Oreochromis niloticus: one gene and its partners. The protein of the gene in region 2 purifies or fractionates together with the protein of the main gene of each other region. This does not show direct contact. Links are inferred from orthologs where the notes say so. Each region holds a gene or a part of one and is shown on either strand. Other genes may lie near its edges.

What was found. Proteins that work in one complex are often made in the same cells at the same time.
Region 1: the proteins of nedd1 (region 2) and mzt2b purify together in Homo sapiens (affinity purification with mass spectrometry; 3 studies listed by BioGRID and IntAct, with this or other methods). This does not show direct contact. The link is inferred for Oreochromis niloticus from reciprocal best matches to the Homo sapiens genes NEDD1 and MZT2B.
Region 3: the proteins of nedd1 (region 2) and cct3 purify together in Homo sapiens (affinity purification with mass spectrometry; 3 studies listed by BioGRID and IntAct, with this or other methods). This does not show direct contact. The link is inferred for Oreochromis niloticus from reciprocal best matches to the Homo sapiens genes NEDD1 and CCT3.

What each region holds. Positions count from the first base shown.
Region 1 is NC_031972.2:12,028,278-12,036,036, forward strand, and holds the start of mzt2b (mitotic-spindle organizing protein 2), read left to right. Parts: upstream 1-4,631; 5' UTR 4,632-4,785; coding exon of another isoform or gene 4,786-4,788; intron 4,789-5,002; 5' UTR 5,003-5,012; coding exon 5,013-5,188; intron 5,189-5,278; coding exon 5,279-5,439; intron 5,440-6,774; coding exon 6,775-6,912; intron 6,913-7,759. UniProt on the Homo sapiens protein: Required for the recruitment and the assembly of the gamma-tubulin ring complex (gTuRC) at the centrosome.
Region 2 is NC_031972.2:348,683-356,860, reverse strand, and holds the start of nedd1 (protein NEDD1), read right to left. Parts: upstream 3,406-8,178; 5' UTR 3,270-3,405; intron 2,125-3,269; 5' UTR 2,117-2,124; coding exon 1,981-2,116; intron 1,615-1,980; coding exon 1,520-1,614; intron 1,195-1,519; coding exon 1,078-1,194; intron 1,000-1,077; coding exon 859-999; intron 488-858; coding exon 258-487; intron 1-257. UniProt on the Homo sapiens protein: Required for mitosis progression. Promotes the nucleation of microtubules from the spindle.
Region 3 is NC_031985.2:35,958,963-35,966,678, forward strand, and holds the start of cct3 (T-complex protein 1 subunit gamma), read left to right. Parts: upstream 1-4,588; 5' UTR 4,589-4,717; coding exon 4,718-4,745; intron 4,746-5,270; coding exon 5,271-5,332; intron 5,333-7,716. UniProt on the Homo sapiens protein: Component of the chaperonin-containing T-complex (TRiC), a molecular chaperone complex that assists the folding of actin, tubulin and other proteins upon ATP hydrolysis.

The DNA.
Region 1 (7,759 bases), about 12 Mb from region 2:
CTGAGAGGTCAAACAAGCAACTGGAAAAACGCTGCAAAAGCTCACAAAACAGAATTTCAATAAAACACAATGGAAACAAAAAAAATGCTGCAAAGCTCACACCACAAATCAATCCCTCACATCACTGATGAAACTTCCTCTTCTCTTCATTACATGTGTTTCATTTAAACCCTACACATGTTTTGGTTTCTGTCACTTCTGCAGCTGTTCAGTCACATCATTGTTGCTGTAAAAATATTTTGTTGTGTTTTATTTAATTTCGGTTGTGTTTTGTGTGTTTTTGCAGTTTTTTATTTTCCATTTGCTGGTGTTTCCTTACATCACAGTACATTTGACCTCTCACTGCCACCACACCCTTGAGTCTGCCTACGAAATTGAGTCAATCTGTAGAGAACTTCTATTGGCTACTCCCTTTAGGGGTCGTCACAGCGACGCCATCTGCCACGTCACTCTACCCTAGCACCCTCCTCTGTCACTTTAACCCTGTCGTCTTTCACTACATCTTTGAGTGTTCTCTGTTAACTTCCTCTTTACCCCCAGCAGACAGCTCCATCTTCAACACTTTTTGTCAAGTATATCCACTATCTCCATAGCTTCATTCAAAAATACTGGTGCCCACCAATGCTAAACCTTTAGACACTGAGCAGATGCATCAATGGATGTATAAGTTTGAAAATCATATGCTATTTTCTGAAAGTTGACAACTGACCTTGCTATTAAAGTTAGTGTCACCAGGATTTAAACTCCCAGAGGTTTTCAGCAGATGCAAATACAGTATTGAATGACTTTTAAAATCCTACATCGCCTCACAAACTTGGGTATCCACACCACCTGCAATCAGCTCTCTGCTGGACCTCAATTTTGCTAATTTCAGTCAGAAAACCTCACCTGTTTTACATTATTTTTAATAAACACCTAATATGAACTCCTGTGCAGTTAAGTCCCCTAACAGACCATGTCCTTGTCCAAATATGGTTACTTCTGGCTCCAATATACCTCTGGCCAAAATACTAGAAGCCAAGGCCTTAAAACTAGACTCTGCAACCCAATGGGCACCGTGACTACATTCGTCTTTTATATACTGTATGTGAACGTCAAAGTGAAATACACACAAAGCCAAGATTTCCCAGCAGAACTGTGCATTTAACTAGATGCTCCAAATTATTCACTTCACCTGTCAGTGGTCCAAGTCACACAAAAGTACTAGTTAAATTCAAGAACATGCTATAAATATCCAAAGCACAGAAAGCACAAAACATACCTTGAGTGTTTAGATAATAGTGTTTCCAGAGGGGTCTGAGCTTGTGCTTCCCACCCACATCCCAGATGGTGAATTTTAGGTTCTTATATTCAACCGTCTCCACATTGAAACCTTGGACAAAGATTAAAAACAAGCTTTAATATAGGATAATATTAAAAAAAAAGACTTGCATTATCCTGACTCTAAAGTAACTCTGTGAACCATTAAACTGCAAGTGCATTCACCAATGGTTGGGATGGGCTGCATGAACTCGTCTTGCTTCAGCTTGAAGAGGATGGTGGTTTTTCCAGCGCCATCGAGCCCCAGAGTCACTACGCGGATCTCCATCTTTGGACCAATGTGGACCCTGTTGTCCTGAAAGGACATTTTCAATGTCATTACTACATTTATAGGAAAACCCAAGGCTTTTCCATTTTTTGTGACATACTTGGTTTACAGAAGCAAATTTCTATGAACAGCGACAGTATGTACCTTAGTGAAGGTGACTGGGATGCCAGCATCCAGCTGAATGTGATCTGCCAGCTCAGTGAACTGGTGTTGCTGCTTCTGAAGCGTCTCCAGCAAACAGTTGATCTCCTGCTTTGCCAGAACAACTCTGCAGTCGTCCTAAAGCACATAAGAAGCAACGCACATCACACCTTTAAAGGCATTACACAAGCATTTCCACAAATCACCACAGCTTTGATCTTAACTGGGGTGAGGAAAAAGAAGGAAACGAGTTCCTAAACTCCTCACATCTCCTACCTGCTGAAGTGTTTTCTCACAGTGCAGGCAGGCGGTGGACACCTGAGACAGCAGGATGGTCATATCCTCCTGCTGCTGCCTCAGCCAGATGAGCCTCTCCCTTACATGTGCATCCACCACGCTCAGCGCCATCTCCTCCTGTCGACACAGGGTCTCGTGCAGATCTGCAAAATAAGCTCGGACGCAGGAGCGGGCGCTCTCTGCTGTGCCGGGGACCTGAAGCACACACGGGAAAGATATAAGTGCCAAAACAGAAGCATGATCATTTGTATTTTATTAAGAAGCCCTTTGTCTTACATGTTCAGTGTGTGCCATGCCTACTCCATCCTCAACTATCTGCTCGCCACCTTCTATCTGCTGCACGATGCCCACCAACTTCCTCGAGTACTCGGACACCTCCTCTGTGAAGGTTCGGATACAGTGGGCCATGTCGAGAATGGATGCACGAATCTGATTGGCTTCAGTCTCAAGAACGGCATGCTGTTAGGGAAAATAGGGCAATATATAACCATATCTTTTTCAGTGACTATATCTAATATGGGAACAAGTTTTTCAGCTACCTTATGGCCCTGGTGCTTGCCATACTCCTTACATACACAGCACATGAGGGGCCCGGACTGACAAGCTTCCTCCAGGCAGACAAACTCGATGGCGTGGACCTGATGCTGTGGACACAGGGTCTTCTCATGGGGCTTATCGGCCAGTGGCACCCGCCGGTGTTTGGCCAGTGTTCGAGTGGAGTGGGTGAGCTGAGAGCACTCGCCACACAGGTGGGTGGCACACACGGTACAGTACATGGAGGCTGTGTGGCTCTCATCCTCATCGCAGCGAATTATACACTAGTTTAAAAAAAGATGGATTGAGGATAAAGCATGCAGAAGGTGTGAAGGTGACACATCTCTTATCAGTAAAATCATAGCTGCCTTACTTCTCCCATGCCTTTCAAGGCATCCTCTGCCATTCCTGACTGGTTAGTCGCTCCATTCTGGAGTCTCTCCAAGAGTTCAAGCAGAGCAAAGTTTTTCTTTAGACCCCAAACTCCAGAGTCCCCTAAGCAAATGTGAAGAAAGCAAACTCACTTTGAAAGGCAAATAATGCCAGCACTGTACAGCTCCATGCCCTCAAAAACAACTTTAGCCTCAACTGGATCACAGATTTCTGCAGCGAGAATAATGTTTTCTGTAATAAACACCCAATTTTTCACAACTTCTGGGTAAAAGTCTTTTGTTTTTAAGGGGCTGGCATGAAGTCAAATTAACAGAAACATGCAGATCACAGGATGTTGTTCTAAGGTTCTTAGTTGGTTTTGATAGCTCTTTTTATGCTCTTGTTTTTAGAAGAATGAGCAGTCTCAGGATTCAGCAACTGAATTTCACTTAATGATTTATATAGCAGGTATTACACATATGTGTCCGCTATATATACAATGCTGGAAAGCGTGATGACATCACTCACCCAGCTCAGTGACCTGCCTGTCAAAGGGGGCAGCGGACCGCTCTGCCATGGAGGGGCAACCGGGTTAGACAGTCATGGCACACCGTGTGGCCGCAGAGCAGAAGACGAGGGACCTTGTCCCCCCTGGAGAGAGAAGACATCCTCACAAACACCACATTCCAGCACCTGCAAATAAACATATACCAGTATTAAAGCACCCGATCACTGGGGCGTACAGATGCTTCTGGGTTACTGCAGAGAGATGCTCTATAAGGTCTCAGACAGAACAATAACTAGTCGGATGCAGTCATCTTGACCCGTAGCGTTACAGTTGAATAACACTTCTGATTTCTACTTTCAGTGATCTTTAAGTGAATGCATTGAAAGCAGTACGAAAAGCAGCTTCTGACACGGTCACACTCTGAGCTGGGCTCCCTCACAGAGGAACTGCAGCAGTGAAGCACAGCTAGCACAGACGCCAACTAGCGACAGAAGACCAGCCAGCTCATCTGCTAGCATGATGCAGGCACAAATACCAGCCATGTCAACGTGCACAAGTCTAAAGGTATAAAGCAGCGCTAAAAAAATGACCGTCTTGTGAAACAGTGTTTACACATGACTCTGTTCCGATTTATAAAATAAAGCTCTGACATCCTCCTGCCAACGACGCCAACGCAGCAGCATTCGCCCAAAATCAAAAGCGTCAGAGGCAAGCCTGATGTCGGTCATTCGCTCAACATAACAAAACAGCCAAACACCAGCGATCGACATGTAGTTTGATCCAAGATTGTAGTGACACCATTACAACCTTAACCGTGCTCCCATTAGCTCCTCTCCCGTGTCGGATACAGGGCTCCATCGTCGCTACGGCGCCCTGCTTGTTTATTCCTGCTGCAGCAGCGGCCATTCTTGGACGACAGCGCAGAGACCCGAGCAGGTTTGAGAGGACAATCCCCAGAAGCACTTCCGGTTTCGTTCTTTTTCGCTCTATTAGCATCTCTACTAGTATAGGCTACCGTGCCTATATATTTCCAGTGACTTATGTTCAATTTACGAAAAAAAACCCTGCCCAAATAAATACCTAAGGGCGTTTGAAAATAGCTGAGTAGCGGCAAGATTTCCCCCTGGAAAGACTTTTTAAATTAATATGGGGTTGTAAAACATGGATTTAAAATCTTAAATGAAGACGTGACGGACAACTGAATAATGTAACTTTTAAAAACCCACTTTTTTCTTGTATTTTATTTTTGCGTGCATTACGTATGAAAGGCAAGACAATGACGTATTTTTGGCGCGTCACGCTTGGCTCAAACAGAAGCAACTGAACGTTGGGCATTGCGCTCTTAATGGTAGGTATATTTTAATTTTGAGGAATCAGGCGTTTGCTGTGTTAATCATTTAGGTCTCATTGTGGTTATATTTTTGATAAATTTTGATATTTTTGATTCGGAGAGGAGGTTCAGTTACGCCGTGTTTCGCCGTGGGCGGGCAACAATCGTTTACGCTGTTTTTCTTTTGGTCATTGCATCTTATTTTACCTTCTTATTTAATCTAACCCCTCAGTTCATTAGTGATGTCTCAACAAGCACAACAAACGATTCCCTCCGCCCCTGACTCCCCTGCGCTGGTTGTCACATCTAACGTGCAGAAATATGCAATAAAGAAGAAGAAAGTCCTCAGCGCCGAAGAAATGGAGCTGTTCGAACTTACTCAGGCTGCAGGAATCACTGTGGATCAGGAAGTTTTTAAGTATGTTTAATAATAATCGGCCTTAACTGTGGTTTACATGGAGGAGAAGACCGTGGTTTTATGTCCTCACCCCCTTCCTCCTCCTCACAGAATCATAGTCGACTTGCTGAAGATGAATGTGGCTCCTCAAGCGGTCTTCCAGACTTTGAAGGCAATGTGTGCAGGACAGAGGGTAGCTGAAAGCTGTGGTGTAGACCCTTCAACTGGCACCCACACCACAAGCATGACCACAGCGCACACAGAAGCCAGAGGTTAGTATCTGAAGAATGGGATGTAATGCAACTGAAAGTATATGTATATTTTTCATTTAAATGTTGAATATCTTTCAGCGCACATAGTCTGGCTTCTTTTAACTAAGAAACATTGCAGAAATCAGGCTGGGAAGTTTTAGTCTCCCCATTTATACTGTCTTATCCTAGTCCGTTCATGTTTTCCCCCTCTGTTGGGTCCTCCTAACCCAACATTGGTCAGTCCAGGATGCAGCAGCCACAAACACTAGCTAGGATTTAGATATCCGTCCCCCCAGATCACAACTGACTGAGGAAAAGTGGGCTGTCATTTGTCACCTACAGTTTAACCCTCTGAAAGTCAGGAAAGTTTAGGATGTGTTTTGCTCTTTTTAATCATTATGGGTTCACTTTTTTTTACGGCAATATAAAACCCTGCACCTTTAAGGAAAGCCAAGGCTAGAAGGAGAAAGAACTCATCACTGTCTTTTGTAAAGTGTAGCATAGTTATGCCACAAATCTTTATTATGTTAACATAAATTATGTATGTAGTGTTTTTTTTAAAATCGATATATAAACTGTTATTGTATAAACTATCAAAATTCCCAGATCTCGGTCTAATCAAACATCTGTGAGATATGATAAGTCCGATCCATGGAGTCCCCACCTCACATCTTAAAGGACTTAAAGGATCTGTTGCTAACCTCTTGGTCCCAGATACCAAAGCACACCTCTAGGGCATCTAGTGGAGTCCATGTGGACCAACACAATATTAGGCAGTTGGTGATAATGTTATGCTTGAGTGGTGTATGAGCTGGTGGGAATGGAGAACATCAAAGGTCCAAGGATTAGGGAACATTAGGGAAGAACACTGGTCAGAGGGGGTCCTGAGACCAACCTACTTTCCAATGCAAACAAGCCCAGTTGTTGGTAACAGTAATTTCTGATAACAAAAAGCGTGTGTGTATGTGGCTACAGATTAGATTTTTGATGCAAAGACTCAGAATTTTAAATTTCTTTTTCTAACAATTTATGTTATATTCTTTCTTTGCTCTTCTCTTTGCTTTTTAAGTGTGTGAAATTATCACGTTCCCCCATTTAAGTTCTGTACACGCTGTAGCAGAGGTTCTGTGCCGCACTCTTCCCTTACCTGACCTCACTAACTAAATCCAATCTTCACTTCACCCCACACAGCACGGTTTTCCACATAAAAGGAGGGTATCTGAAGACAGGCATAGTCATGCAAACTCATCTACAAATCGCTCATCCTCACTGTGTTACAGGTTTTTCTGATTTCCTCTCTATCCCGGTCAGTTCTTTCTTTTCTTTCTTTTTTTCTGTGTGTCTTGTTTCCTGAAGAAGAGGACTCTTTGGCTTCTGGAAAGAGCCCTAAACCTGCCGCAGCTCCCCCCTCAGCAGCAGGCCCCAGAGCCACAAGGGTCAACACTAAGATTGTGGTCTACAGCCCCCAAGACACTAGTTCTCCTCACTCTCAAGGTCCCTTTTGCTGCACTCTCTCCTCCACCTTCATCTGCCCACTTGCTTGCCTTTCTCATTAACAAAAGTTGTATTTATGTGCAATTTGATATGGAGCAGGATTTGGGAAAAAAAAAACTGCATGCTGTGCTTTCTTTATATGTGCATGCATGCGATTGTGTGTGGACCGCAAAAATTGAATTTGCCCTTGGATGTTTTCATACTCAAGGAGATTTATTCACTGTGCAGTGGATTTTTTTCCCTTTGTTTTTAAGTGGCTAGAAAGTTAAAAAAGAAACTCTGAAGTACTTTTTTATTGATTCTTTTACACAAGAGTAGCTTGAATTTACAAGTTAAAAAAAAGAAGTCTTTTATGTTGCTGTGTGGTGATTAACCTGTCACCATATGAGTGGCGGCACAAAAGAAGGGGATCTTGACTTGGTTCATACAATATGCACTTATTGAGTTCTATTTTCAGGATTTCACTAAAGACTTACAGATTAATAATGATAGTCAAGTTTATAGTCTTCTACAGTATAAATGGTCAGAAACTTAAACTTGACAAATAAAGCAGAGAAAAGTGTGCGGGCACCAAGCTTTTTATGACTTTATAAATAACGTATTAAACATTTGACTTGCTAAGAACCCTAACCCTAAGCAACCCCAATGTCTTGATTTTGTATTTGTAAATGGTTACATCAGTTTAGTGATATATAATACAGAACTTTCACTTGAAGAAGCCCTTTCAGAATAAAAATGAATGCTAAAATCTGTGATTTTAGTACAAATGGAGAGTATAAACACTATTGAAATACTTTTTTGTAAAACAAAAACAAAATGAACAATATCACTATCAGCTGGAAAAAAA
Region 2 (8,178 bases):
TTGCTTCCCTTCTGGACTGCTGGACAGACAGTTTTATATTAACATAGAATAAAACACGATGAGACTCATTTTAAAGTCTAGAAGTCTTCTGCAGTCTCCTGAAAGGAAGACAGGCGAAAGACTACACCTCCTCAGAGCCCAGTTCATTCTCAATGAGCTCGAGAGCGCCCTCTATGGAACAGGAGCTCCACAGAGGGCGTAACAGTTTGTGACCAATGAGGTCCCAGGGACATGCAGAACAGAGCGATCAGACTCACATCTTGCTGGCGGTGTCGTAGCAGACGATCTTCTTGTCCAGGCCGACGCTGACCACCAGCAGGTCGCTGGTGGGCGAGAAGGCCAGGCCGGAGCCTGGGGCTTTGTGGGCGCCGTCGAACATGTGCAGCTCCTTCTGGGTGTTGGAGTCCCACAGTACCACCGTGCCGCTGTCAGACACGCTGCCCAGCAGGGAGCGCTTCACTGTGGACAACCTCAGGTCGTGGATGGGCTGGAGATCAACAGATTATCAAGCAGCAATATCAAACATTCCTCTGCTGTCTTTTAGTTACAGTTTTTATATACACGGACTTTTACTTCGCTTCTGAACAGAGTGAAGCATAAAAACTGAGCCCCTCCTCCGCTCTCTGGTTAACTCTGAGCCTGCAGAGTTGTTCTTTTATTAAAAACTGTATATAACTTCATAAGGTAAGGTAAATAAACTGAAAGCACACCTCCACCTTTTGGCTAGTCCCTGCTCGTCCTCCTTCACTACAGTCATATCATCAACTCACAGCTCACCTGTCTGACTCACCTGAGCAGCTGCACATGAACAGCTTCAAAGAAAATCTTAAACAAACAATATGAAAGTGGAGGTCTGACCTGGTTGCTGCCGTGGCCGAACGGCCTGCTGGACAGGTTGGTGGTCAGACTGTGGAGGACCAGGTCGCCGCTGGTGGAGCCGGAGGCAACGTAGCTGTCGTTGGCATTAAAGGATACGCAAGTCACCTCCTCCTTATGGTCCTAAGAGAAAAGGAGGCCATATTTATCCCGCTCTGTGCCTCAGAGGTAAAGGAAGCCGGAGGTGGAGTGAAGTCCTACCTTGAGGGAGCGGTGCAGTCTCTTGGTCTTCAGGTCCCAGATGTGCACGCAGTGATCGAGACCTCCGCTGACCAGAAACTGAGACGAGGAGCTCAGACACACCCGGGTCTGCTTTTTCTGAACACACAGGTACAAACCAGCACCGTTACACTTTACAGAGACCGAAGAGCTCTCAGTGAGATACTTACCAGACTGACTCGGCTTTCTAAAACTACACAGCATAAGTAAAATCTTTAGTTTCCCGCTTTTTCCTGGAACCTAAACTTCACTAAAACACCTGGGAGAACAGCTGGTATCATATTTCTAAAGCTCAGTGTTTTGGTTTTGGGAACTGAAGGAGAATTTGGACCCAGAGACAAACAATAAAGTCTCAGGCTTTATTCTTCTTTTATCCCTCTGCAGTCTTTGAACCGCCATGAAAACGAGCAGAGCTGAGACTCACCCCGTCGGCCAGCTCCACCACCGGCACAGGAGTCGACTTGAGGCTGGAAACGACCAGCTTGTCCCCGCTGCTGCTGGCACTGACCAGGTACTGGTCTGAGAGAACTGGTCAAGGCTGAATCACAGATCTAAAGGTGATTTATGCTGCTCACTCTGGCAGGGCAGGTCTGCATGATTCGCAGTTTAAAATAAGCTTTCTTTGTCTCATACTGTTCATGACCTGTCTGAAAGAAGCTGCTTTAGCTCTGCCCCCTTTAAGACATTTTTATCGTGATCGGCTGCCCCTTGAAATTAAACCGCCGACATAGATCAAAAACTCATCAGGAAGTGCTTACTGAGCTCAGGGTGACCAAAGACATGTATACAATCAGATAGAGGAGTCGCCCCCTGTTGGACATGACAAAGACCGCAGGTTTCCATCTTTCATATCCAGTCTGTGGTGATTTAGTGACAGCAGGATACTGTTGGAGCTCCAGCAGGCCTGAGCGACAGGGTGGCTTGTGCTGTGTGGGTTAAACTGCTCCAGCGGCGCCATGGAAACCGCATCCCAGATCTTCACGCAGTCTCCGGTCGACACCAGCCGTGTCACCTCCTCCATGGCAACAACTGGAGAAAATAAACACATGCACAGAGAGTTGTATCCTTGCAGACCGTCACTGTTAGTTTTACAGCTCATTATTTATTTTGTTAAACTTGCACAAACAACATAATTATATAGTTTTCCATTAAAGCACTGATCAGAACTACATGACTATAGAAGGGAAATGGTAAATGGCCTGTATTTATATAGCGCTTTTCTAGTCCCTAAGGACCCCAAAGCACTTTACACTACATTCAGTCACCCATTCACACACTGGTGATGGCAAGCTACATTGTAGCCACAGCCACCCTGGGGCGCACTGACAGAGGCTTCATGAATTTATACTTCATGAATATCCCCCAGGCCTCTTTTTATATATTAATCAGTATTTGATATAAGTGCAGGTCCTTTTGCTGAAAGATACTCAGATTAATAAAGAGATTTTAATTTGTTGAATATTATATAAAAACATGGCTGCCTTACATGTCACCTCAGTAAGATCCAAGCAGTAGTTTAAGGACAGATTTTATGATCTTCTTGTTGGTTTTTAAAGACTCCTCGAGCTCTGCCTGAGACCTTCCAGCGACACCTCGTTGGTGGTCAAGCTGTAAAATCTCTGTTTTTGTTTTACTTTTTGGCTTTTATAAACCAACAAAGCCAAAAAATAAACTTGTATCTATTAGCTAACTAGTATCTAACTAGATTCTATTTAATTTATTTTCGATTGAGTTTATTTTCTTTACTGTTCAGCGCTCTGAAACCTGGTTTTAAACAGTGTTATATGAATGTAAACGAGGTAGAGATGAAAAGCTGGTGCAGTAACTCGTATCGGGCAGTAAAAGTACACAGTGCTGAAGTATTTCTGTGAAACCTTCTATCGGATGTTCGTCGTTTTTGGGGGGTCTCTATTGTAGTCTGAAGGCAGACGGACACGTGAAACTGAGTCTGACGCCTGTGAGGACTTTTAACGGCTCGCAAGCTGTTTTTGGTCCATCAAACAGAAACTTTATCGACTTTGTTCCGTTAACTTGAACCTGCAGCTACAGGTAGCTCATGCTAACCGGCGAATAGCTCGGCAGCTTTAAAGTTAACAAATTGTCGCGAGGCGAGCGGAAACTACCGGGAATGTCTTCACCTGACCCTCAGAGTCTGTAAGATTAGCCATACTTACCCAGAAACAGTTTTTAATCACCGAAAAGTCGAAACTGACTTTGTTTTGGACGCGGCCGTGGCCAATGAACCGCCACTACGGAGCACCAGGAGGGACAAACGGCGGAAACGGGATCGTACTTCCTCTGTTTGTATTGAAGTCTAATCGAAATGTACTAAATATACAATATCAAAGCAACAATTAAAGAAAAACACTGAATAAAATATTTAATTATTGTTATATTTTATATGAAGAAAAGAGGCATATAAAAACGTGGCTTTATGAAGAAAAATAAAACAGAAGTTTAGTAAATATAGGTTTCTACCGCATAATTATAGTATAATTATGAAATTCTTAAAGTATTTTCGAATTATTTTAATTACTGATACCCTTATAGTTTATTGTATTTTTTTTGTATTTATTTTATAATTTATTGTTTAAACAAGGCCGATAAAAAGTCGCTCAAATAAAATTCAATATGATCAAACCATATATATAGAAAATGTTAAAAAAAAAAAAAAAAAAACACAAAAAGGAGCTTGAAAAAATTAAAAGATATATAGAAATTTTAAATTGAATTTTAAAAAAGCAGAAAATACAGAAACATTTGAAAGGAGTACAGTAAAAATAAAAACAAAATATTAGTAAAAAATTATATACTAAAATAAATTATTCAAGTAAAACAAACTACAAATGTAATTTGATAAACTGGCTTCATATGCAAAATATTTCAAATTCAGCTAAGAAAAAAAGAATAGTGTATTCAAGACGTTTCTGCAATATAATACCCCATAATTGTATTACTATCATGAAATCTTTAACGTATTTCATGGTAATTTATTTCCTAAAAACATTGTAATTTATTGTGTAAACACAACCTATAAAAATCACTCATTTATATATGAAAAAAATCTCGAAAAATCTCAAAGTTTTCACTTCATTCAAACTGTCAAGTTGTTAACTAGTTAGTTTCTCAGAAGTTTGAGTTAGTAAGTTGCAATTTGAAGATACATAACTTAAAATGTTGTGATAATAGCCCGATAACCCAAACTTTTCACTTCTTAATACCAAGAAAATGTTTTGTTTCGTTATTTTTCTTCCAGTGGCTTAAACAGTCTTCCATACCGTGAATCTGCAGTTACACACGTTCACCTATGAGGGACAGACTTGTGTTCCAGCTATTCGTGGAGTCTACCACTATAGAAGCGAGAGAAGAAGAAGTCTCCCGCCCCATCCGCCTGTTGGTTTTAAACCGAGGCGGGACGGTGCTCGGTTCACTGTGGTCCGTGGATTTCAGGCAGGAGTGTCGACTTACTGTAAAACCCGCTGCCAACATGGTGAGGACAAAAGCCGATAGTGTGCCCGGTTCATACAGAAAAGGTACGGCAACAAATTAAAGGCATTTAATCAGAATTTAGGTTTTTACAGCTTGTTTGTACAAGAACACGTTTTGTAATGTAGTCTGGCGGGCAGGCGGCGCTGAGCCAAAGCTGGTAAAATCATACAAATGTGGCCTCGAAGAAGAGTAGTTAACATATTACATTTATATTTTTACAGTAAAATAATTAAAAGAAAACTGTCAGCTGAAGTTTGTGTATATCCACCGCACGGCTTCCTAAAATCAGCCTCCCGCCAACACGGAGGCTGGTCTGCTGCCCTCTCGGGTTCTCCGGGAGAGGCCAAGATATTTAAGTTAAAACATTTAATTGTCGTTTTATCATCTGAGTCAAAAGTTCTAGCTTAATGTTCTCATTCATCTCACGAGGTGTCATCTTTAATGATCCTTTCCCAAAGTTTGTACGACGTTTACTGCAAACTGGCGCCAGTTTTGAGCGCCGCGGTGCGTCTTTGTGCGCACGCCTCACAAAAGTCCATTCACATATTACATAATTAACGCGTCTCTGTTTAACATAGAAGCCACGCGTGTTACTGTCCATAATGGATGCATGTTTATTAAGTTCTGGGACCTTCTGGTAAATTTGGCTTACATTTTTCCAACACCAAACGGATAAGAATTAAAATTTAAATCTGCTCTGCTTCCTTAAAGACCCGGTTTAAATAGCAGTGAACTGCTCTCATTCACTCTGCAGCTATTTTTAACAAGCTTTCTTTGAACTTTTATTTAACATTCTGCAAATCAGACTTTAGTCTCTTTACGTTCATTTGGCTCAGCTTTGGTCCTCGGTAAACTTCTTCTGGTTTCTCACTGGATCCTTCATAATAAGCTGGTTTCATGTATTTCATTTGCAGCTGTTGCAGCTTCTGCCCCCCGGAAGTCTCTGGGTGCCAGTTCATCCAACGCCACCTCCAACAGCCAGTCCTCCACACCTGGTCAGTCCCAGTTTCACTACGCGCGCGCACACACACACACACACACAGTTCACGTACTGAGGCTGCTGTGATTGTTGTAACTTACAGCAAAGAACAAATATGCCGGCGGGAACCCCGTGTGTCCTCGTCCCACCCCGACCTGGCAGAAGGGCATCGGGGACTTTTTTGGCGGTCCCCCAGGAAGATGGAGAAGGAGAACAGGCGGCCCCAGGAGGTGGAGGACGATGAAGAGGCTGGAGGCAGTGGGATGTCAAAGGCCAGCAGGAAGTATGTGTTGTGCTTTATTTTAAACTTCTGCAGGAAATCTGCGTCCCACCTCACGGTGTAACCGTAACCTCCTTTTAACCCCACGCGGCAGCCATCCACCAACCACTCAAGTCGCCACGAGCTGCATCAACCCTGAGATGTCATTTTAGTTTTAGGATTTCCCGCAGAAATCCAGATCCCACAAAGTGAGAGATGAAGCTCAGTGGAGGTTTGCTGCTGTGTGACGAGCCGTTAGTTTCACCTCCGGTATTTTCAGTGTGGAGCTGAGCCTGCTGCTGTGATACATGGGCCGGGGTAGTTTGATCCACTATAACACCTGAGAAGGTAATAAATGAACCATGTCAGGTGTTGAGTTCAGCTCCAGCATGGAACAATTTAAAATGTAGCATTAACTGCAGTGAACCTGTTGGGTCCGTTTAAACAGAACTAAAGAAAGCAGCTGTTTCTAATTACAAGCAAGTCGTCCTTATAAAAGTGAAACTTATAGCACTTTGTGGTGGGTTACTTAAAAGAAAAGCAGCAGCAGTTTGATACAAATCTGATCTGAGGGTCAGAAATGACAGGAAGCTGCGTTCTGGGTGAAATGACGGGGACTCGTCTTAGCGGGGAAAACGTTTGAATGAATGCTGCAAGAAACGGAGGCCGGTAAAGACGGGAGCTGATGCTTTCCCTTAACCAAATGGCTTGATCCAGAGTTTGGATCGCTGTGAAGCTTTATACGATCACATCTTACTGATCAGGAGTGTCTCACCCATCAGAGTTGTTTCTGAGGGTTCACCGGAAACCTTCAGCAGAGTCTGCAGCAATCAAATGTAAAAACACAGATGCTTTTATTTTGGAAAAACGAAAGTGTTTTCACTCTGCAGGGTTTGTTTTAAAAATTATATTCCCTCATGGTCATTGAGTTAAACCAATCAGCATCAAGCTGCACCAAGAAACCGCAGACCTGCTCAATGACTCAAAGTCCAGTTTCTTAGGAACACCGGTAGCCATGCTTCTCAGCTGATTTTTTTTTTTTTTTTTTTTTTTTTTGGGGGGGGGGTCCCAAAAACACCTCAAATACAGCGGCTGACGATAATCAGATCATTTATTTTCCTCCTTAAATCTTTGCTTTTATAGCTTCAGACGCTCACCCGTCTGGATTAATCTGCAGCTCCTTGTAGGTCCGGAAAGTCTTTAAAAGTTGAAAACTGGCATTAAATTGTTTTAAATCGATCAATAGTGAGACAGCAGAGACTGACTGTTGCATGGATGATGCTAAAATCCGAGGAGAGGCCTCAAACTCGCTGCTGACACCACTCGACTGAATGACAGATTTTAATTTATTCGGGACGTGGCATTTATGTTCCAGCGTCCTGTGGGAAGTTTGATGCCAATGTTGATCAGTTTGGTTTTTGTCGTCCGCAGAGCCCGGCCGCTGCCCGCCGAGGATGAGGAGGACGATGACTGAAGCCTGGATCAGTCCGTCTGACTGCTGATGTACATCTGTATATAAATTCTGCTCAATTCACACTGTATAGTTCAAATTTTGTTTTACCTACAGAATGTCTGTTTGAGATCATTTGGATTTCATCTTTTTTACTAATAAAACTTGACTGAAAAAAAACTGAGGAACAAACATGGCCGTCTCTGGATGAGTTTGTGGGCACGGACTCAAACGTCCAAAACTGGGCTTTATTTATTCTGTTGAGTTACAGATCAATGCTCCTGAGAAATCAGTTTGATTAATAAAATCAGATTCCTACAAAACCAGAACACCAATTGTATAATGTTTAAACACAGCTCCTCTGTTTGTCAGAATCATCTTTGTCATCAATGTTCGTTCATTTTTGTGATTGAAGCCAAGGTACAATCAGTGTTCTCAGGTTAACGACGCCAGGAATGTGAGTCCGTCCCTGTCCAGCTCCACAGAGTGGACACTGAAGTCTCCCAGGCCCTGAAACACACCAGAAAATATCAAAACAGGACAGATGGTCAGGAATTATTCTGCTCCATCAGAGCAGCTTAGCATGATTCACAGTTAAGAATAATCCTCCTGTATCACATACCTTCCCCTCAGAAAAGGAGACAATTTAGCTCCTCCCACCTTAGGCTTTTTTTTTAAGCTTTCTTTTTCTGATTGGACCCTTTTCTGTGACATCATCCAGAGCCAAAAGTAGAAAATAAACTGTATAGATCAGTCTACACTAAGCTCATTACAAACTTTCTGTTTTACAGGAGCGGCTCTGACATGTTTTTAAAAAAACTTTAAACCTGAGTTGGAAAGTAATAATGAAAGGATTCATTTGAGGTCCCAGTGGGTTGTGAAGTAATCTTTCCTGACAAAAGGTCA
Region 3 (7,716 bases), on a different chromosome or scaffold from region 2:
AAGGTCAAGGAGAATGAGGATAGTGATGAGTCCCAGAATCAGCTGCAAACAAAAGATCATTTGTGATTTTTACTAGAGCCGTTTCTGTACTGTGAAATGAATGGAAGCCAGATTGAAACTGTTCAATTTTTCAGTTTTATTTATATAGCGCCAAATCACAACAACAGTCAACTCAAGGCACTTTATATTGTAAGGTAGACTCTACAATAATACAGAGAAAAACCCAACAATTAAATGACCCCCTATGAGCAAGCACTTTGGCAACAGTGGGAAGGAAAAACTTTTAACAGAAAGAAACCTCAGGCAGCACCAGGCTCAGGGAGGGGCGGCCATCTGCAGCAACCGGTTGGGGTGTAAAAAGGAAAACATGATAAAAGACATGCAGTGGAAGAGAGACAGAGATTAACAACAGGTATGATTCAATGCAGAGAGGTCTATTAACACATAGTGAGTGAAAAAGGTGCCTGAAGAAGAAATAATGCATCATGGAAATCCCTCTCCAGCCTACATCTAGTAATAATTCAGGGTCACCTGATCCAGCCCTAACTATATGCTTTAGCAAAAAGGAAAGTGTAATGTTAAATGTAGAGCTCGTGTCTGTCTCCAGAATCCAAACTGGAAACTGGTTCCACAGAAGAGGAGCCTGACAGCTACTTTTAAATATTTTAGGAACAACAAGTAAGCCTGCAGTGCGAGAGTGAAGTGCTCTCATGGGGTGATATGGTACTACGTGGTCATTAAGATAAGATGGGGTCTGATTATTTAAGACCTTGAATGTGAGCAGTAGGATTTTGAATTCAATTCTGGATTAAACAAGAGCCAGTGAAAGGAAGCCAATATAGGAGAAATATGCTCTCTCTTTCTAGTTCCTGTCAGTACTCTTGCTGTAGCATTTTGGATTAACTGAAGGTTTTTCAGGGAGTTTTTAGAATAGCCTGATAATAATGAATTACAGTAGACCAGCCTAGAAGTAATAAATGCATGAACTAGTTTTTCAGGATCACTCTGAGACAGGATTTTTCTAACTTTAGAAATATTACACAGGAAATACGAAAGAAAGCAGTCCAACATATTTGTTTAATATTGTATTGAAGGACGTATCCTGGTCAAAAATGACTCCAAGGTTCCTCACAGTGTTACTGGAGGCCAAGGTAATGCCACCCAGAGTAAGAATCTGGTTAGATGCCATATTTCTGAGATTTTCAGGGCCGAGTACCATAACCTCAGTTTTATCTGAATTTAGAAGCAGAAAATCAGAGGTCATCCAGGTCTTTATGTCTTTAAAACATTCCTGCAGTTCAACTAATTGGTGTGTGATATCTGGCCTCATGGATAGATAAAGTTGGGTGTCATCTGCATAGCAGTGAAAATGTATGCTATCCCTTCTGATAGATGACCCAGCTGTCTCAGTAACAACTCCAATTTGAATCTGACTGGATGAGCCGTTGTCAAAGCTCTGGACTTTCAACACTCTGTGGGGCCGGTTCTGCTTCCTCAGACTCCCATTTGGGATAAAATCTGCCCGTTAGGGTTTACACATCATAGCTGATGACATAATAATTGCAGCATCATCAGAACAGGAACATGACGAAATCCTGCAACGCCGCGACTTACAGGGCGCTGTTTGTAAACTGAAACAAAAAAACCCTGAAATTAACTGCAACGTTTTTCCACATTTAGCTCCAAACCTTATTAAAAAAAATTCGAGTCACTTTTTCGGACATTTATGAAAATATTTGTAACTTTTTATATTTAAAACTAAATGTTAAATCTAAATGTTTACGGGAAACTAAATATTGATCTTTTTATCTATTTGTATAGCATTTTGGACGAGTTAATGGCAGTGTTAGCTAGACAAGCATAGCTAAATTATTTAGCTAGTCCTCACTTATATATTTATTTGGTAGGTAACAGTCCTTGATGTAAATATTTCCTTAGGAATCCAGCACTGCACCTGGACCAACTAGACCTGCCGTCTCCACTGGGATATCATACTGCTCGGTAGGCTTTCTTACACGTGTAATTTAGCTGGCTGCTTTTTGTAAATGGTAAATTTGAATGGTTTTTACATACAGTCAAATATTTGTATAGAGAAAGCTTTTCTATTTTTGGTTCTGTACTAAATGGAACAACTCAGATACAGTTGAACTGCAGATTTTCAGCTTTAATTCAGTGGGTTGGACAAAAAGATTGCATAAAAATGTGATGAATTAAATTATTTTTTAACACTATCCCTTCATTTGAGGGGCTCAAAAGTATGTGAACAAATTAAATAAGTTAAAGTAAAATGTAAATTTTTAATTTTGCTGGCAACTTTTGTTTGCCTTTTGAACTCATGGACATCATTAGATGCCGGGTTTCCTCCTTTTTAATGATCTGCCTAGCCTTTACTGCACCAGCTTTCAGTTGCTGTTTGTTTGTGGGCCTGTGGCCTAAGTTTAGTTTTCAATGAGTGAAATGCATGCTCAATCAAGTAACAGACTTGATCATTCCTCTTTTTTCGCATTCGACTTGTTTGCTTTAATAAACTCCTGGGTTGCTATGGCTGTATGTTTTGGGTCATTGTCCATCTGTATTATGAACTGAGGCCCAATCAATTTGACTGCATTTAGCTGGACAAGCAGTATGTCTCTGAACACCTCAGAATTCATTCAGCTGCTTCTGTCTTTTGTCACATCATCAGTAAGTCTTATGAGTGGCTTGCACCTTGCAGTGAACCCTCTGTATTTACTTTCATGCAGTCTTCTCTTTATGGTAGACTTGGATATCGATATGCCTACCTCCTGGAGAGTGTTGTTACACTTGGTTGACTGTTGTGATGGGTTCTCTCTTCACCATTGAAATGATCTTGCAATCATCCACCACTGTTGTCTTGCTTGGACACCCAGGTCTTTTTGCATTGCTGAGTTCATCTGTCCTTTTTTCCTTTCTCAGGATTTACCAAACTGTAGATTTTGCCACTTCTAACATTGTAGCAATTTCTCAGATGGGTTTTTCTGTTCTGTTCTCTTTGACCGCATGTTGTCTGTTCGCAATAAAATTTTCCAAATGCAAGCACAACACCTCAAATCAAATCCAGGCTTTTTGTCTAATTAATTGATAATGATATAGCGAAGAAATTGTCCATACCTGCCTATGAATAGCCTTTGAGTCACTTGTCCATTAACGTTTGGTCCCTTCAAAAAGAGGGTGCCACATATTAAGAAGAAGAAACTCCTAAACCCTTCATCCACTTTGAATATGGATACCCTAAATTAAAGCTAAGTCTACATGTCATTTCTATAATATGACTATAATTAGAATATGTTTCAGTAAACAGGTAACAAAACAAAAGTTGTCAGTGTCAAAATATAAATGAACCTAACTGTAGGCCTTTTCTTCTCTGAATCCTCAAAGCACTTTATACAGCAGATCACATTACCCCATTAATACAAGCGCCCTTTCAATCCAGCATTCATATACAGTCACACACAGATAAACCCATTGGGAGCTGTAGATTAGAGCACCCGGGGATCGAATCACCAACTTTCCACTTAATAGACAACCTGCTCTAGGAATAGCCACCCCACAAGTTATGAGGTGTAATGCCTCCTTTAATTATCAGTCATCAGTCTTAAGGACATCACTAGTATCCTAGGGTTGAGGTCACAATTTTAAAAGTTTGTTAAAAATATACTGCTGTGAATGCTTGTATATACTCTTGTAAATCGCAGTCATTTCATCGGACAAACCCACTTTGAGAGAATGACAAGGTGGGTATGGAGACCTGTGCTGGAGAAGGTTTTGGGTTTCAAAGATGAAACTGCAGTAAAGAGCGCATTCAGAGTATCTGACATCAAACATCAACATCCTGCTGTATCCATCTATTGCACCATGAAAAACAAACTTCCAACGAATCAGCTTGTGATTTCCATCTTATATGTCATATGAAATTTGGATGAGGCACGGAATATACTCGCCAAGCATTTGCAGTTCTTCTGGATAGAACACCAGCCTAGTCCACGCCCCCGTAGTGACTCTCTTACACGCCATCTTTGAACCACTATATTTTTGGAATACAGGTGTCCCATCAGCATCATTTCTCCAAGAGTTGGATGTTCCGTTTTTATCTGAGACACTATCTGATGATTTAAATATAATATTTAGATGTAACATTTACATTTAATTATAGTATTTAGATTAAATATAGTTTGAAATATAAAAAGTTTGAAATATAAAAAGTTACAAATATTTTCGTAAATGTTGTGAAAAGTGACTCGAAAAAAATATTTTCATAAGGTTTGGAGCTAAATGTGGAAAACTGTTGCCGCTAATTTCAGCATTTTTCAGTTTACAAACGGAAAGGGTTAGAAAAAACTCTGAGACGCCCATGCTCCTGAGCATAAATTGTTTCTTTAAATAAAGCAAAAATTGCAATTTAAGAAGTTCATCCAAAACTGTGAATTCTGTTGGTGCTTATTGTAGAAGCTGCTCTATTTTCAGCGGAAACAGTTTTTAATACACGGAAATAATATGAAACTAAAGGGCTGATTTTGTCTCCATGAAAGGGCGACCCTTTTGCCTCATTCAGTTTATTGGCGGATCTGCCTATCTGTCACGCAATGTTCTCTCTGATTAGTCGGACCCGGGCTGTTTGCCCGCCCTTGTGGGTGGAGCCTTCCTCTCTCCTCGTGCCACCCAGAAGCTTCCAGGCTGTTGTCCGGCACGCGCTGTGAAAATGATCGGCCAGCAGGTTTTAGTGCTCAGTGAGTATTCTTATTTTCTTCCAAAGCCTTTACAAAACCACGGACAACCGTACTCAGGCCGTCCGCGGCCGCCTTCGATCCGCTAGCAACCCGGAGACGCACCAAGCAAAGCGCGGTCGTTAGCATGTTAGCCCGGTTAGCAGATGGATGCTAGGCTAACTTAAGCTAACCCGTTACTCAGCATGAACACGGAGCTAGCAGGCTAACGGTTCCTTTGAGGCTAAAATCAGGCGTTCATGTGATGTGATGGGGTGAAGGTGGAATCCTCCACCTGTGTTAGTGTGAACTCAGTTATTGATTATGTCATTAGGAACATGTCACTGTGTTTCTGATCATTATGGTTGATCCAGAGAGAAGACTCATAATCAGTACTGATTAGTATGAGAGTCAGGGTTTATCGTTTTCTTGTTCAGACGAAACATCTGCTTATTGAAAACGCATCATCACTGTACAAATAAGAATAACGAGTAAAAGCACTGCGTGTATGCGGACAGTAACTTCCTGTGTGTGTTTGTGTCTCCGCAGACCAGAACGTGAAGAGAGAGTCTGGACGTAAAGTCCAGACCGGGAACATCAATGCAGCAAAGGTGAGTTTGTTCTACAAGGCTCCGCTCACTTTCTTCTGTGCCCTTTAGGTCACAAACTGAATAACCTGCTTTGTGATCAGTGGCGGTCCTAGCCTGTTTGGTGCCCTGGGCGAACACTCCCTCTGGCGCACACACACACACACACACAAAACATATTAAGGATTGTACATTAACATAAAACTGTTGTCGGAACCATACTGAATTTCACCAGAGAAACATACACACACACACACACATATATGAAGAGAGAGTATGCATAGTATGCAAACGGCTACCGGACAGCCATCATAATTCGTCATACAATGAGAACAGGACAAATCTACAACTGACACTGACTAATTAATATTAAAATCTGTAACATAATGTATTGTTTGGAGTTTAGTCTGTTACTGTTACTATTTTTACCATTTCTTCATGGAGCAACTGTAACCTACATAATTTCCTTAGGGATTAATAAAGTATGATTCTGATTCTGATTGTTTCAGGATACATGACCTGCCATTATCCAATGACACATCTGCTTACCTGTATATTTTGCTCATTTCTCCTCCTCTTTTCTCTTTTTTCTAAACTGAGGACCTGATGGCTTTGAACTTTTCTTGTCCATCTTGGTTTTAATTTTGCACTCCAGTATGAACACCCATCCCCCAACCCGAGAATCATAACCTAATAGACCTACACCTTATTTCACAGATTCGCTTTGTCTAGGGTTTATTTCTGGGATTTCGCACAACCCAGGATTCAAATCATGAATACATAATGGGCTTGGATTTACAACATTATCAATGAAATGTGCTCTATTTGGAAGCAGCCGGCCCCCCTCCCCTTTCGACGGGTTGCGTGTGAGACTTTAAATCATCAAACTGTAAATTATAAATTTTAAATTGTTATTGATCACTTTACCCCTAATCCTAAAGTGTATATTTATTTTCTTGCTCTTCTTATATTTATTGTTTGTTTACTTGCACTGTTGTAACTGGAGCCTCGTCGTCTTGTCTCTCTATATACTGTACTGTATATAGCGGAGATGACAATAAAGTTTACTTTGACTTCAGCAGCAAGCAGGCGCACCGAGGGCTCTAGCGCTCACTTTTTGCGTATAGAATTTCGAAAAAACATCGGTGCAAATTATAAGTCTGTATCATAATGTCTGGTGTTTTTGTGTTTGTTGGTTTGTTTTTATTTTGTTTTATTTTGCGAGTTATTAGATGCTGCGCCAGCCAGAGAATCCCCGCCGCCCCGCCCTCTCCTCCCTGTGCCGCAAGCAGCAGGCGCACCTCGCAAACGGAGGGCGCCCTTACTCCCAGCAAATGGGCGATAGAAAACCGATTGGTGCCTACGACATTCCCAAAATGCGCATGATGTCGGGGCAGCATGAGTACGAGCAAATTTTTTTTTTTTTTTTTTGCCGATGCCCGTGATGCTGTCCCCCACCACTATGCCGCCCCGGGCAACCACCCGTGTTGCCCGTATCAAAAACCGCTACTGTTTGTGATCCAGGCGATGTGTTGGTGCTTTGCACAGTGGTCCCCGAGCCACTGCTGACATATATCTTGCCTATCAAATTTGTTACCGTGGTAACTGACATATCCAATCTGGCAGGTGCTCCAGCTGTTGGTTGTAGTCCGTCTTGGCCTGCTCCTTGTCTTGTAGGAGCTGGACTGGGTAAAAAAAAAAATAGAATCATGACCGGATCGCTCTCCTAGCGCAATGAGCTTCCTAATGAGCTTCACACTGTCCTTAAACTTATTGGTTAGTTACTTAATAAGCAGCTGTGTGCGGACGCACTCAGTTGTTTAAACTATTTGATTGTATACATTTGTAAGATTTAATCCAATGAGCACTGAACTTTAACAAAGACCTGTTCTTTTTTCTTCTCCTGAATATTTTATATTACTAATCAATAGGATGAAAGCGTTTATTTGTTACTGAGCAATTAATAGAATACTCAGTTGCTAAAATAATGAATCGGTACAACTCAAGTGTTTATGATTTAGTCATTGAATTTATACATATTTTTCCTTTTAAATGAAGAAGATTAAAATTCAAAGAAGATAAAAAGGTGTTTTAATTTCTGTGTGTTAGCTTTCTGTTTAGAAGCTGCTAGCAAAGTTTAGCCAGGGGGGGCCGATATGGCATTAACAGGAAAAGGGGGGGCACAAAGACATACTTTTCTTTCTTATTCTCATTTAAAATGTCTAGCTTTTAATAAATAATTATCCGAATCTTACACCGAAAGTTTTAATCTGATGTAAAATGTCTAGAAGTCCATTACTGTATAACTGTAACTGTAGACTTAACTGTGTAACTGTTAAGTCTAATATACCCTAGTAAGCTATAGTACTTTTTCCTTTGGGGAAGGTCCCTATTTTTTTTTTTTTTTT